Linked DNA regions of Mus musculus. The protein of the gene in region 3 purifies or fractionates together with the protein of the main gene of each other region. This does not show direct contact. Links are inferred from orthologs where the notes say so. Each region holds a gene or a part of one and is shown on either strand. Other genes may lie near its edges.

Region 1 (3,604 bases), on a different chromosome or scaffold from region 3:
CCCCAAACCCTTCTTTTAAAAAGAAAACAACTTGGGCTGGTGAGAAGGTTCAGCGGGTAAGAGCACTGATTGCTCTTCCAAAGGTCCTGAGTTCAAATCCCAGCAACCACATGGTGGCTCACAACCACCCATAAGGAGACCTGACGCCCTCTTCCGGCACGTCTGAAGACAGCGACAGTGTACTTATGTATAATAATAAATAAAATCAGAAAGGAAGGAAGGAAGGAAGGAAGGAAGGAAGGAAGGAAGGAAGGAAGGAAGGAAGAAAGAGCAAGCAAACAACTCAACTCAAGGATAGGGACTGCTTGGTCAGAAGAGAAAGAGAAGAAGGAGGAGGAGCCGAGTAAAACAGGTCTTCTTCATACCTTGGAGTAAGGATTTCTTTGTATTGTAGTTTCTCAACACGAGTTGTTGCAGCAACAGACATTGGGATGACAATGTTGTTAATATCAAATGAGCTCTCTCCCCTTCTCCTCCTCACTGGCTGCTGTAAGATAAAAGTTTAAGTTTCAAGGGAGGTACAAAGTCACAAATTTAAAACCATTAGTCATATGATAGAATGACCATACACACAGGTCCTTGGGTAGCAGTGGCCACCACAGCAGTGTATCTAAACTCTTTGGAAGCAGAGGTCTTCGGGTGCACATGTACGGCTGCATGTGCGGCAGCCCCAAGGAGTAAACCCCATTCACAAGGCACTCTCCATAACCACCCTTCTCCTTCACTAGATTCTTATACGTGGGTATTCTAGATTTTAAGCCAATTTGGTGGTAGTGGTGGTGATGGAGTTCCTATTACTTCATTCTATTAACATTCCTTTTTTTGTTTGTTTTTTGTTTTTGAGGCAGGGTTTCTCTAGATAGCCCTTCATGTCCTGGAACTCACTCACTCTGGAGACGAGGCTTACCTCAAAGTTAGAATCCACTGTGCCACTACTGCCCGGCTTTAACATTCCTCTTTTTTTAAAATCTAAAATCCTTGTTTTAGAGCTGGAAAGATAGCTCTGTGGCTAAGAGCTACCCTTGGAACAATGGTAACTAATTATATTAAAAGCACTAAATTCTTTTTACCAGAAAAGAGGCTAAAAGAGTAAGCCCACCTTAACAAACCACTTTACCTTAGCTGCTGTGACAACACCTTCCCTCTTGAAGATCTCAACTCCTCAGCTAAGTCTGTACCAACCACCTTCTCAGCCCCCACATAACTCTCATCTTTCTATTATTTTGGGGAAAGAGAAGAGTGGAAGGAAACTGAAAAGAAGGACCAGTCTATAGCTTCCACCCCAAGAAGATGTGTTTCCACAGTAAGTGAGAACATTAAATCTTTGGGGAAATAATATTTCCAAGGGTCTAACAGAAGCAGAGTTGGGCATCTATGTTAGGACACTAGAAATGAATAAAACCAGGTGTAGTGCTATACACATTTTTAATCCCAGCACTTGAGTGAGAGGCAGATACAGACAGATCTTTGTTGAGTTTAAGGTTAGCCTGGTCTACACAGCAAGTTCTAGAAAAGCCAGAGTTACATAGAAAGACTCTGTCTTTAAAAAAAAAAAAAACAGACAGCCAGGCGTGGTGGCACATGCCTTTAATCCCAGCACTTGGGACGCAGAGGCAGGCAGATTTCTGAGTTCGAGGCCAGCCTGGTCTACAGAGTGAGTTCCAGGACAGCCAGGGCTACACAGAGAAACCCTGTCTCGAAAAACCAAAACAAAAAACCAAAAACAAAAAACAAACAGAGTGAATAAAGCAGCGAGCCAAACGATTGAGTCTCCTAGACAGAAGAAAATCTCTATTAGCTGCTTCTGCCCAGAGAGCAAATACCTTGTTCTGAAACAGCCTGTTAACTGAGCTATAAGAGGTAATAGGGAAACAGTGGGATGACAAATATGTTGTCATGGCAACAATACAGCTGGAAACACCCAAGAGGTCATACCCAGACCACCAAGTGTGGTCAGCCCACTGGGAGGGTTAGTAAGAAAGATAAGCTACTACCCCCTAATCAACTATTGTACCTCTTTGGAAGGTGAGATAATCTATTCATTTCATTATCTTAGGACACTATAAGAATATTAAAACACAGATTTTCAGATGGTGTCATGAATGATTTCAGGTCATCATATTTTAAAATTTATCCTATATCAGCAAGACTAAACAGTCATTGACCTCAGAAATGGTTGAGATTTTTGGAAACCTTATCCAGCTGAGTTCTATGAGTGAGCGTTAGTGACCCAAAGGCTTCTGTTACTGTTACACCTTGGCTTAAGTTCTCTGATCCACACAAGAAATGAATCTTGAAGGAGCCTTGGGAGAGACAGCTCTTCCTCTCTTAGTCAAGAACGAAGCTCCTGCTAGAAAGAGCTATGTATTTCTCCGGTACTTCTCAGGCCTCTAGCCTGCACCCTCTGCTTCTACACCCCCTTCTGCTAGCACTCATTTACAACAGAAACAAACAAAGAATCTGGCCTTTCCCCCTCTATTTAAGTATCTTTTGGGTGGTCTTAACTATGTATGTAGCCTGAGCTGCAAAACTCATGCTCCTCCTGCTCAATCCTACCCTAAGTGTTACTGTATGTCTGATTTTTTTTTTCCCCCCGAGACAGGGTTTCTCTGTGTAGCCCTGGCTGTCCTGGAACTCACTCTGTAGACCAGGCTGGCCTTGAACTCAGAAATCCTCCTGCCTCTGCCTCCCAAGTGCTGGGATTAAAGGCGTGCGCCACCACACCCGGCTTTTTTTTTTTTTTGGTATGTCTGATTTTTAAAATTTGCTAAGTATTTTTTAAAATTAACAGGATTTCAAGATGCACACAAAATAATCACAATGTGTTGAAAGACCATCCTGTTACCATCTTGCTTATCAACCTAAATTTGGCATATCACTCTGCTCATTATTCAATAAATCTTGATTCCCTGAATAAATGAGGCAATAAGAGCCCAAAAGGAGCTGGGTGTGGCAAATGTCTTTAACCCCAGCACTTGGGAAGCAGATGCAGGAGGATTTCTGTGAATTTTGAGCCAGTGAACTATAGGACTATATAGAGGAACCTTGTCAAAAAAGGGTGGGGTGGGGGCAGGGGCTAAAACATTAGCACGCTATGCATAAAATATGCATTTAGTAAGTTAATTCTAAATGGTCTAAGTCACCACTCTCCAGAATCATCAGGGCTGACAGAAAGAAAGAAAGAAAGAAAGAAAGAAAGAAAGAAAGAAAGAGACAGACAGACAGATTTACCAAGTCCTTAACCTTCGAGTCCATGGTTCTGTTGTTTTTAAATGAGAATTACTCTCATTACTCTTCTCTCTGTCTGATTATGTGAAACCCTTGGCTAGTGTGTGAGGAATACTATACACCTATTCAGACAGAGTCTTTGAGACGAGAAGGTGAAGGAAGAAGGCTATTTGGAAGAGGCTCTCTGTAAGACCAAAGAACAATGTGAATTTGTACCTGATTCCAGGAGCGTAGTGAGCACATTTTGTGAGCTTAGAGCTTCTCTGACACCCCATCTCAGGCCAAGGCTGTGTGATGTACTGGTCAGAGAGCTGACCTTGTAGTCAGACTACAAGGGTTTGAATCACAATCACACCCCTCAAACTGTCTCACCTTA
Region 2 (4,354 bases), on a different chromosome or scaffold from region 3:
TAAAGTGAGACCTATAGCCTCAAGGGGGACTAAATTCATTAGATTCTAATATTTTCATCCCATCTAATGAAGGGTTGACACTTCTTCATTAAATTTAGATTAGACTCTGAAACAAATGATCCTGATTTATAAATATATGTTTTTTATTTGACAACATTATACATTTTATTGTTTAAATCAAGTGTTGTTTTAAATTGCATGTTTGTTTTAGGTGATCCATAATTCCTACAGTCATCCTAGTGTATCAAGGACTTCTACTGCTAAAACAGTAATTATTGCAAACATTGTAAATCACAGTACTGGGGGACAAAAATATTTTAGAACTGTCTTCTTGCATTGGCATTTTCTTGTGTGTGTGATCTTACTTGTATTCTAATTTTACAGCAAATTAAATAACCGTACATAATATTTTAAAAGTGGAAAGTATAATTCTGCCTGTGACAGAAAAAAGATTCTAGAAATAATAGAAATATTAATTGTATTGGACCAATGAGAACCACAGAGGATTAAAAAGAAGAACATAAAGACAAATATCATCTCAGAACTGTCTTATTCGCATTGTTTGTAGCATCACTAAGCTCAGTATAACTCTGCAACTATTAGATATATATTTCTTGAATGAATGTCTTTTGAATAAAAGGATGATTATGAAGATTTTCTCAATTTACCAAATCTCTTGAAAGTCAGAGAAAACATTTCTATTTTCACTGTACACGATGAAGCAAGATAAATATAAGTGTCATTTGTATGCAGTGATGCACTTTTAAAACGTGGGAGGCAGAGTGATGGAGTGGGGAAAAAAATAGATGTTTTCTCTCAGTAGCACTTTGAATGATAACTTGTAGATCTTCTCAAAGTTGGGATAGGGATTCTCCTGCTTAATATAGACTTTGGTACATGGTAGGTGTTCAACAGAGGTAGTCCTATACTATTAATTGTGAAGACTTGTTCTATTAGTACCCTAAACTTCTTAGGAATTTTTAAAGATTCTTAAGAATCTTTTATTTGTTTTATAAAGATTTCTGAATTTGGAAAGTAGTATAAGTGTGCAGTTTTGATTGTCATGTGATATATTTATAGCAGAGTGTCGTGACAAAGTATCCATTCAAAAGAGACAATTCTGATTTTGTAATACAGATCATTGTGTCTGTCCTTAACGTGGGATAGAACAGACACGGTGAAAAGTGTGTGGTGCATTGACAAGTTTGCCCAATGTGTCAAGTAGTGGGATTTGTTAGAAACCAGCAACAATCACAAAAGGCCACCATCCTCTTGACCCCACCAAGGGGAATCTAGAGCCCAGGTCTTTTCTATGTGTAAGTAGCCCAGCCTGGCCGAAGCCCCACCCCCAGAATAGTCCTCCAATCGGCTGCGCCGCGCCAGCCCGGCCCTCGCGTACCACGTGACTCAACCCAGCCCGCTTCCGGCGCGTCGCGGGCGGCTGACGTCCCCGGCCGGCGTCGCGTCAGGGCTGGCCGGCGGCGGTGGTGGCTGCGGAGGCGGCAGCGGCGGCAGCGACGGCGGCTGCGATGGTAGCGGAGCCGGAGTGGGCTTGAGGGCTTCCTCCCGCGTTTCCTCGGGCCGACGCGGCGCCGCGGGCCCGGCTCACTCGGCTCCCGCTCCCTCCCTTGCTGCTGCCCGGGCAGACTCGAACGAGGCCCGCGCTGGCCTCCCTGACGCGCCCCGGCTCGGCCCCGGACGGCCCGGCTGCTGTGCGGAGACGAGGCCGAGTCGGTAAGAGGCGGCGGAGGGGCCTGGAAGCTGCCGGGTCCCCGGGCTGCGCTCGCGCCCGCGTTGCTCTCGGCCGGCGTCCCGCTCCCTGCCATCCGCTGACCCTATTGTCTGCGCGCCGCCGCGCTACCCCCGCCTTCCTTCCCTTGCCGGGCCGGCGGCTGTCAACCTGCAGCTCCCGGGCTCCGGGCCAGCCGCGCCGCGGCCTTTCCTGGCTCCCCTTGACACCCCTGCGAGCCCGCCTCGTCCCCTCTGCTTAGCTTCGCGGTCTTTCCCTCACCGCTCTCTAGCTCTGTGTGTCTGTCTCTTTCCTCTCACTGTCATCTCTGCAAACTTCCACCATCCTTACAACGAACTCTTTTTTACCGCTTTCTGGTCTTTTTTCATTTCTCTTTTTGTTTCCTTCTCCCCTTTCTCGCTCCCTGTTCCACAGTTTCACTTTAAGGGTCTGTCCAATAGATTGTCTTTCGTAAAAGTTCCTAATTCTGCCGCCTCCCTCATTCTCCTGTCTCCTCACAAGAGAATGGAAATCGTCCCTGCCTTTTGAGGTCCTCATTCCTGAGAGTCACGGGGGATTAGATTTACAGGCTGGAAGTTTGATCTTAGGAAATGTTAGCATAACTGGCAAACTGCCTCTTCGGATTCTATTTCTGTACATTGAAGTAACAGCCTTGTATGTTGCACACTTACAAGATTTCTATTTAAAATATTTATGTTTGTTCCCATTACACCTAGTGTGTCCTGGCTATGAATCTTAACCTCACTGATGCCATGTCAGGATATTCTATATCCCCTTAGGCACGACCTTGTAAACTTGATCCCCCATATTTTTGTAACAAGCGTTGATGCTATTTCTTTTCTTCCCTTTTCAGATTAAAAAAAAAAAAAAAAAACAGGAAGGGACATTTGGAATTCTGTTTGCTCTTAAGTTTTACCTGTTTTAAACAGTGGCTAAAACATTATAAGATTTTTCGTTTGTGTGGGGATTTTTCATTTGTGTGGTGTTTATTTTTTTTTTTTTTAAGCTAGAAAGATCCTAGTGAGTAGTAATGTAAGAACATGTTCTAAGCATCTCCCTCCAACAAGAGCAGCGTTAGATTCCTGGTCCCCAACCCGTTGTATTTTGATAAGACCGTGCTTGCCAGTTATTATTTTCATTCCACTATTGATACCTTGAGAATATATGCATTCTCTTCAAATACTCGGTAGTCAAAAAGGCTGCACGTGTGCTAGGCAAGCCAGTGTGGCCAAAAGATCATTAAATACTTAATGTAAATGGGCTATAGTGAAGTATAGTGAAGTAACGACTCCTGCAGGTTTTTTTTTTTTTTTTTTTTTTAATTGTCATTATGGGCACAATGTTGAGTTAATAATAGAAACCTTACCCAGAGTCTGGCATAATTTGATTATGAAATGTGAAATTTAAGAAAAATCACTTGAAGCCGGGCGTGGTGGGGCATGCCTTTAATCCTAGCACTCGGAATCTCAGCACTCGGAATCCCAGCACTCAGGAGGCAGAGGCAGGCGGATTTCTGAGTTTGAGGCCAGCCTGGTCTACAAAGTGAGTTCCAGGACAGCCAGGGCTACACAGAGAAACCCTGCCTCGAAAAAAAAAAGAAAGAAAGAAATAAAGAAAGAAAAAGAAAACTCATTTGCAAGTCTTTATGTTAAAATGATGCTATGGTGTGCTGTTGAGATAGTATGCACTAACTACCCTGATTTTCCAGAAAGGTTGGTGAGACTCCTCCCTGACACAGTGCTTGTCTGCTGCTTTCTCCACGGGTTGTATGTTCTGACATACTAAATGATTTCTGGAAATTAAGTGGAAGACAATTAAGCTGCTCCCTTCAACAGTTTCAGTAAACACAAGTGTCTTCATTTTAAAACTCACAGTGTTTTCAGCCTTCCCTGGGTGGCTCTTTCCTGAGCATTTTTTTTTTTTTTTTGTCAGCTAAGGTTTGAGGCATTTTAGCTATTAGTCTTACTAGCTGTCGCTTCTCTTTAGCTGTTTTTCCTTTCTGTATTTATCTTTTATAAATGCCCTACCAAAATTTCCTTCATGTTGCATCCTACCTATAAGCTTTAGTGATTGTTCAATTAAAAGTCTGGCAAATATTGTAACGTCCCATGTATTATTTTGAAAATTAGTTAAATTCTGTCCCTTTAAACCGTATTCCATGTGCATCTCATGCGTTAGGATCTAACTTTCTTTTTTCCTCTTGAGGTAGTGGAAAGAAAATACTGAAGAATAGGATCTCAAGATGAGTAAAAAGCCCCCAAATCGTCCTGGAATCACTTTTGAGATTGGTGCTCGTTTGGAGGCACTGGACTACTTACAGAAATGGTATGGAAAATAACAGAATATTGACCCAAAATTTGTAGCTTTAATAAGTCACTTGCTATTCTAACCACATGTCAGTCGCATTAGTGTATTCATCCCTGAATACACATACACATTGGGTTTAGGGTTAGCATTTAAATACTTCATTGTACAGTGCTTTAGCTGTTTGAGATTTGAAAGTGTTTGTCTAGAGTAAAGGGCAGATAGAGAGGATGTTACCACTGAATAACTAACAGAGTTTCATTGGCAGAGGTCAAGGAAGGCTAATTCACACATTTAGCT
Region 3 (4,308 bases):
GCCTGTTAACTGTTAGGACGCACCGTGAGGGACTGACTGACTGCCTCCCTCCTTCCACCCAGGCCCCAGGGCCCCAGGCACTCACAGCCCACATAGTGAACATAGAATTCTTCTCGGCCTTCCTGGTCATTCACTCGAGACTGGATCACTTCTGCTGAATCTGTCAAGAAAAAAAAAAAGGGGGGGGGATCTGAGGGGTAATTTCCAGATCCATCTGTCCACACCTGCCATTTACCCTGTAAGGTGAGCCAGGTTAGGACTTGGGGGAGGTACAGGGGGTGTTACAGAGGACCAGAGATTTGAAAACTGAGAAAACCTGGTATTTAAGCATGTTTAAGACTACCTCCAAAGTCAGTGCTCATTCACTCATTTGGGGGCCATGAGAGCTGGCTGGGGATTAAGACAGTTTAAGCTTCCTTCACATTTCCTAAATGACTGTAGCCCCATGGTTTGACTTTCTGAGCTTTAGTTCCTTCATCTGGAGAATACCTAAAAGGGTGACCATGCTTTAGTCTGTAGCACAGGGACAGATGCAGAGATGTCTAGAAATTAATGCTCGTCTGGCGCTCCACTATGTAATGCTGGCCACAGTGAGAAGATACAGTGAGGAATCACAAGAGATCTTGTTCTCTAGTGTTTTCCCATTGACAGAGAAAGGCAGATAATTTTAACAGTATGGCTGCCGGGTGTGGTGGCGCACACCTTTAATCCCAGCACTTGGGAGGCAGAGGCAGGCGGATTTCTTCTGAGTTCGAGGCCAGCCTGGTCTACAGAGTGAGTTCCAGGACAGCCAGGGCTACACAGAGAAACCCTGTCTCGAAAAAACAAAAAACAAACAAACAAAAAAACCCAGTATGGCTGAGGTACGAAAAAGAAAAACGTGCCAGACCATGCAAGCAACTGACTTTGCCTGAAGGGGTCTAGAATGGGATCACCACAGGAGATAAAGAGACTAGGGGGGCTGGTGAGATGGCTCAGTGGGTAAGGGCACCCGACTGCTCTTTCAAAGGTCCGAAGTTCAAATCCCAGCAACCACATGGTGGCTCACAACCACCCTTAATGAGATCTGATGCCCTCTTCTGGTGTATCTGAAGACAACTACAGTGTACTTACATATAATAAATAAATAAAATAAAAAAAATAATAAAAAAAAAAGAGAGACTAGGGGCGAGAGAGATGGCTCAGTAGTTAAGAGCATTGACTGCTCTTCCGCAGGTCCCGAGTTCAAATCCCAGCAACCACATGGTGGCTCATAACCATCTGTAATGAGATCTGAGACCCTCTTCTGGGGTGTCTGAAGACAGCTACAGTGTACTTACATATAATAAATAAATAGGGGCTGGTGAGATGGCTCAGTGGGTAAGACACCCGACTGCTTTTCCGAAGGTCTGAAGTTCAAATCCCAGCAACCACATGGTGGCTCACAACCACCCAGAATGAGATCTGACTCCCTCTTCTGGAGAGTCTGAGGACAGCTACAGTGTACTTACATGTAATAAATAAATAAATTTTAAAAATAATAATAAAAAATAAATAAATAACTTTTTAAAAAACAAAAATTAAGAGATGAGTAAGAGCTAGCCAGGAAGACATGAGATTACTTATAGCAAGAGCAGGTGATAAAAGGCACATAAACACATAGTTTTGGCGGGCAGAGCAAGATTGGTCTGGCAATAGCCCTTACTAGAAGTGCCTAGAAACTGGAAAGGTCTCAGACACCTTTAATCCCAGCACTTGGGAGGCAGAGGCAGGCGGATTTCTTCTGAGTTCGAGGCCAGCCTGGTCTACAGAGTGAGTTCCAGGACAGCCAGGGCTACACAGAGAAACCCTGTCTCGAAAAAACAAAAAACAAAACAAAAAACAAACAAACCCAGTCTAAGGAGTTTAATTATGTTTTGAGACAAGGTCTCTCTATGTAGTCCTGGCTCTTCTGGAACTTGCTATGCAGACCAGGCTGGCCTCAAACTCACAGCCTTCCCAGGGCTGGGATTAAAGGTGTATGCCACCATGACCGACATTTATTCGTTTAAATTAGATGTATTTATCGTATTAGGGGGTGGGGGATACTCTTATATGGATTCTGAGGGCAAACAGTAAGAATCATTGTCTCCTTCTACCATGTGGGTCCTGGGGACAGAACTCAAATCACCAGACTTGGTGACAAATACCTTTATGTCCTGAGCCATCTCAGCTCGGAGTTTATTTTGAAGCCAGCAGCTTGAGGTTTATTTTGAAGAGGGAAAGAAAAGGAAGAAAAGATAAGGAAGATAAGGAAACGTGTTTTTAGGAACTGGGCTGTCCTCTTTGCTGGCGATGAGGGGGCAAGAGAAATGTAAAGACAGACAACAAAACACCAATGAAGGAACAGATATAGCAAAAAAAAAAAAAAATGAAGCCTGAAATCGAACCAGAGTGAATGTTCACAGGCCAACTCTGTATTCAGCTGACTGGTGGCTTTACAGGTGAAAACAAGCATGGCCTGACTCCAACCTCCAATTACAAAGTGGGCTTCTCAGCTCCCGAAATCCCGCCTTCTTACCTGAGTCACCACCCTGGCCCCAAGACTCCCAGCCCCACAGAGCGCCCATTCCTAGGCCATGCCCATTCCCTAAATCCCGCCCCTAGGCCCTGGGCCCCGCCCTCACGCCAGGTGCTATCCGGCCGCCGGCACAGGTACGTTTCTCCGATCTCCACGGTGACTTCTGGTTCGCCACGCGCCGGAGTCGGCGGAGAGACCCGGCCCGGGGACCGGGCAGGCCCCTCGACTGCTGCATTTTCCCCCGGGCCGGGCTCTCCCTCCCCTACAGTTCCTGAAGTTGTTGCAGCAACTGCAGCTGTAGCTCCCTGTGCCGCCATTGCTGTGCCGGAAGTGACCGGCCAGAGAGCCGCTTTTATTTCCGGATCAGTGGGGGCGGGCATAGTCTTGCGTGTTGGAGGTGGGGAGGTTGTGACGTGGCAAGGTTTTGTTTTGTGCGTACTGCGTGTGGCTGTTGTTGCTAAAAATTGGCCCAACTTGAGACAGGGTCTAATTACAGTCCTAACTGACCTGGAACTCGCTATGTAGACCATACTGGCCTCGAGATCCACCTGCTTCTGCCTTTTGAGTCCTGGTATTTAAAGACGTGCACCGCCACACCCGGACTTAGCTATTTTTGTGGAGTTGTTTGTTGTGACATAGCCCGGGCTGCCTACACACTTGCTGACCTAGCTCCTCCTGCCTTGGGTTCCCGAATGCTGGGATTAAAGGCGAGCATTCCTATTTCTTGAGAAAGGTTCTCAGAGGCTAGCCTGAAATTCATTGAACGTGCAGCAGTATCCTGGGGATTACAGTTGTACTCTATCACTGAATTAAGTTTTATGGGATGCTTGGGGCCAAAACCCAGGGCTTTTTATATGCTACCCACTCTATATTTGCGTCTCTCGCTCAGGGTGGGAGCAAAAACCAGTTGAGACAGGAAAAGAACAGGTGTGCCAAATAAACTACCTTCAAAATAAACTTACTCACTCTTTCTCTCTCTTTTTTTTTCAAGACCGGGTTTCGCTGTGTAGCCTTGGTTGTCCTGGAACTCACTCTGTAGACCAGAAATCTGCCTGCCCCTGCCTCCCATGTGCTGGAATTAAAGGCCTGCACCACCACTGCCCGGCAACTTCTTTTCTCTTAAGAATTTCATGTAGCGGGGCTGGAGAGATGGCTCAGCAGTTAAGAGCACTGACTGCTCTTATGAAGGTCCCGAGTTAAGACCCCATGGTGGCTCACAACCATCCATAACAAGATGTGACACCCTCTTCTGGAGTGTCTAAAAACAGCTACAGTGTACATGTATTTACATATAATAAATAAATAAATCTTTGAAAAACAAAAACAAAAAACCTCGAGCGTGGCCAGGGAGAACCTTGAGTGGTTGTCTAACCTCCACCTTTCAAATGTTGAGGTTAGGATGGCACCACACCAGGTTCATGCACTGCTAGAGATTGTACCCGAAGCTTCATTAATGTTAGGCAAACACTACCACTGAACATCTCCAGCCAAGAAGGGTTTGAGCAGGGAGACAGTGCCTGGAGAATCTGTAGTGACACTCCTCCAAGTACAGAATACCAATTCTCTGAGACTCAGTAAAGGTTAAACCATATATACATATGGTTAAGTCATAGCTTTATATAAGCTATATAGCAGCATTCAAGGTAAACTTATTGGTAGATGAATTGGAGTAACACATGTCTAATTTGCTGTTTAACTTCACCTTTCTACACACACACACACACACACACACACACACACACACGTGTTTTCCTTAATTACTGTATTGG

The links.
Region 1: the proteins of Kat8 (region 3) and Kansl1 purify together in Homo sapiens (affinity purification with western blotting; 4 studies listed by BioGRID and IntAct, with this or other methods). This does not show direct contact. The link is inferred for Mus musculus from reciprocal best matches to the Homo sapiens genes KAT8 and KANSL1.
Region 2: the proteins of Kat8 (region 3) and Phf20l1 purify together in Homo sapiens (affinity purification with mass spectrometry; 3 studies listed by BioGRID and IntAct, with this or other methods). This does not show direct contact. The link is inferred for Mus musculus from reciprocal best matches to the Homo sapiens genes KAT8 and PHF20L1.

Annotation. Positions count from the first base shown.
Region 1 is NC_000077.6:104,337,761-104,341,364, forward strand, and holds part of Kansl1 (KAT8 regulatory NSL complex subunit 1), read right to left. Parts: intron 488-3,604; coding exon 366-487; intron 1-365. UniProt on the Homo sapiens protein: Non-catalytic component of the NSL histone acetyltransferase complex, a multiprotein complex that mediates histone H4 acetylation at 'Lys-5'- and 'Lys-8' (H4K5ac and H4K8ac) at transcription start sites and promotes transcription initiation.
Region 2 is NC_000081.6:66,576,114-66,580,467, forward strand, and holds the start of Phf20l1 (PHD finger protein 20-like protein 1), read left to right. Parts: upstream 1-1,458; 5' UTR 1,459-1,734; intron 1,735-3,955; 5' UTR 3,956-3,992; coding exon 3,993-4,075; intron 4,076-4,354.
Region 3 is NC_000073.6:127,911,080-127,915,387, reverse strand, and holds the start of Kat8 (histone acetyltransferase KAT8), read right to left. Parts: upstream 2,872-4,308; 5' UTR 2,857-2,871; coding exon 2,646-2,856; intron 2,630-2,645; exon of another isoform or gene 2,589-2,629; coding exon of another isoform or gene 2,540-2,588; intron 2,375-2,539; exon of another isoform or gene 2,169-2,374; intron 161-2,168; coding exon 86-160; intron 10-85; coding exon 1-9.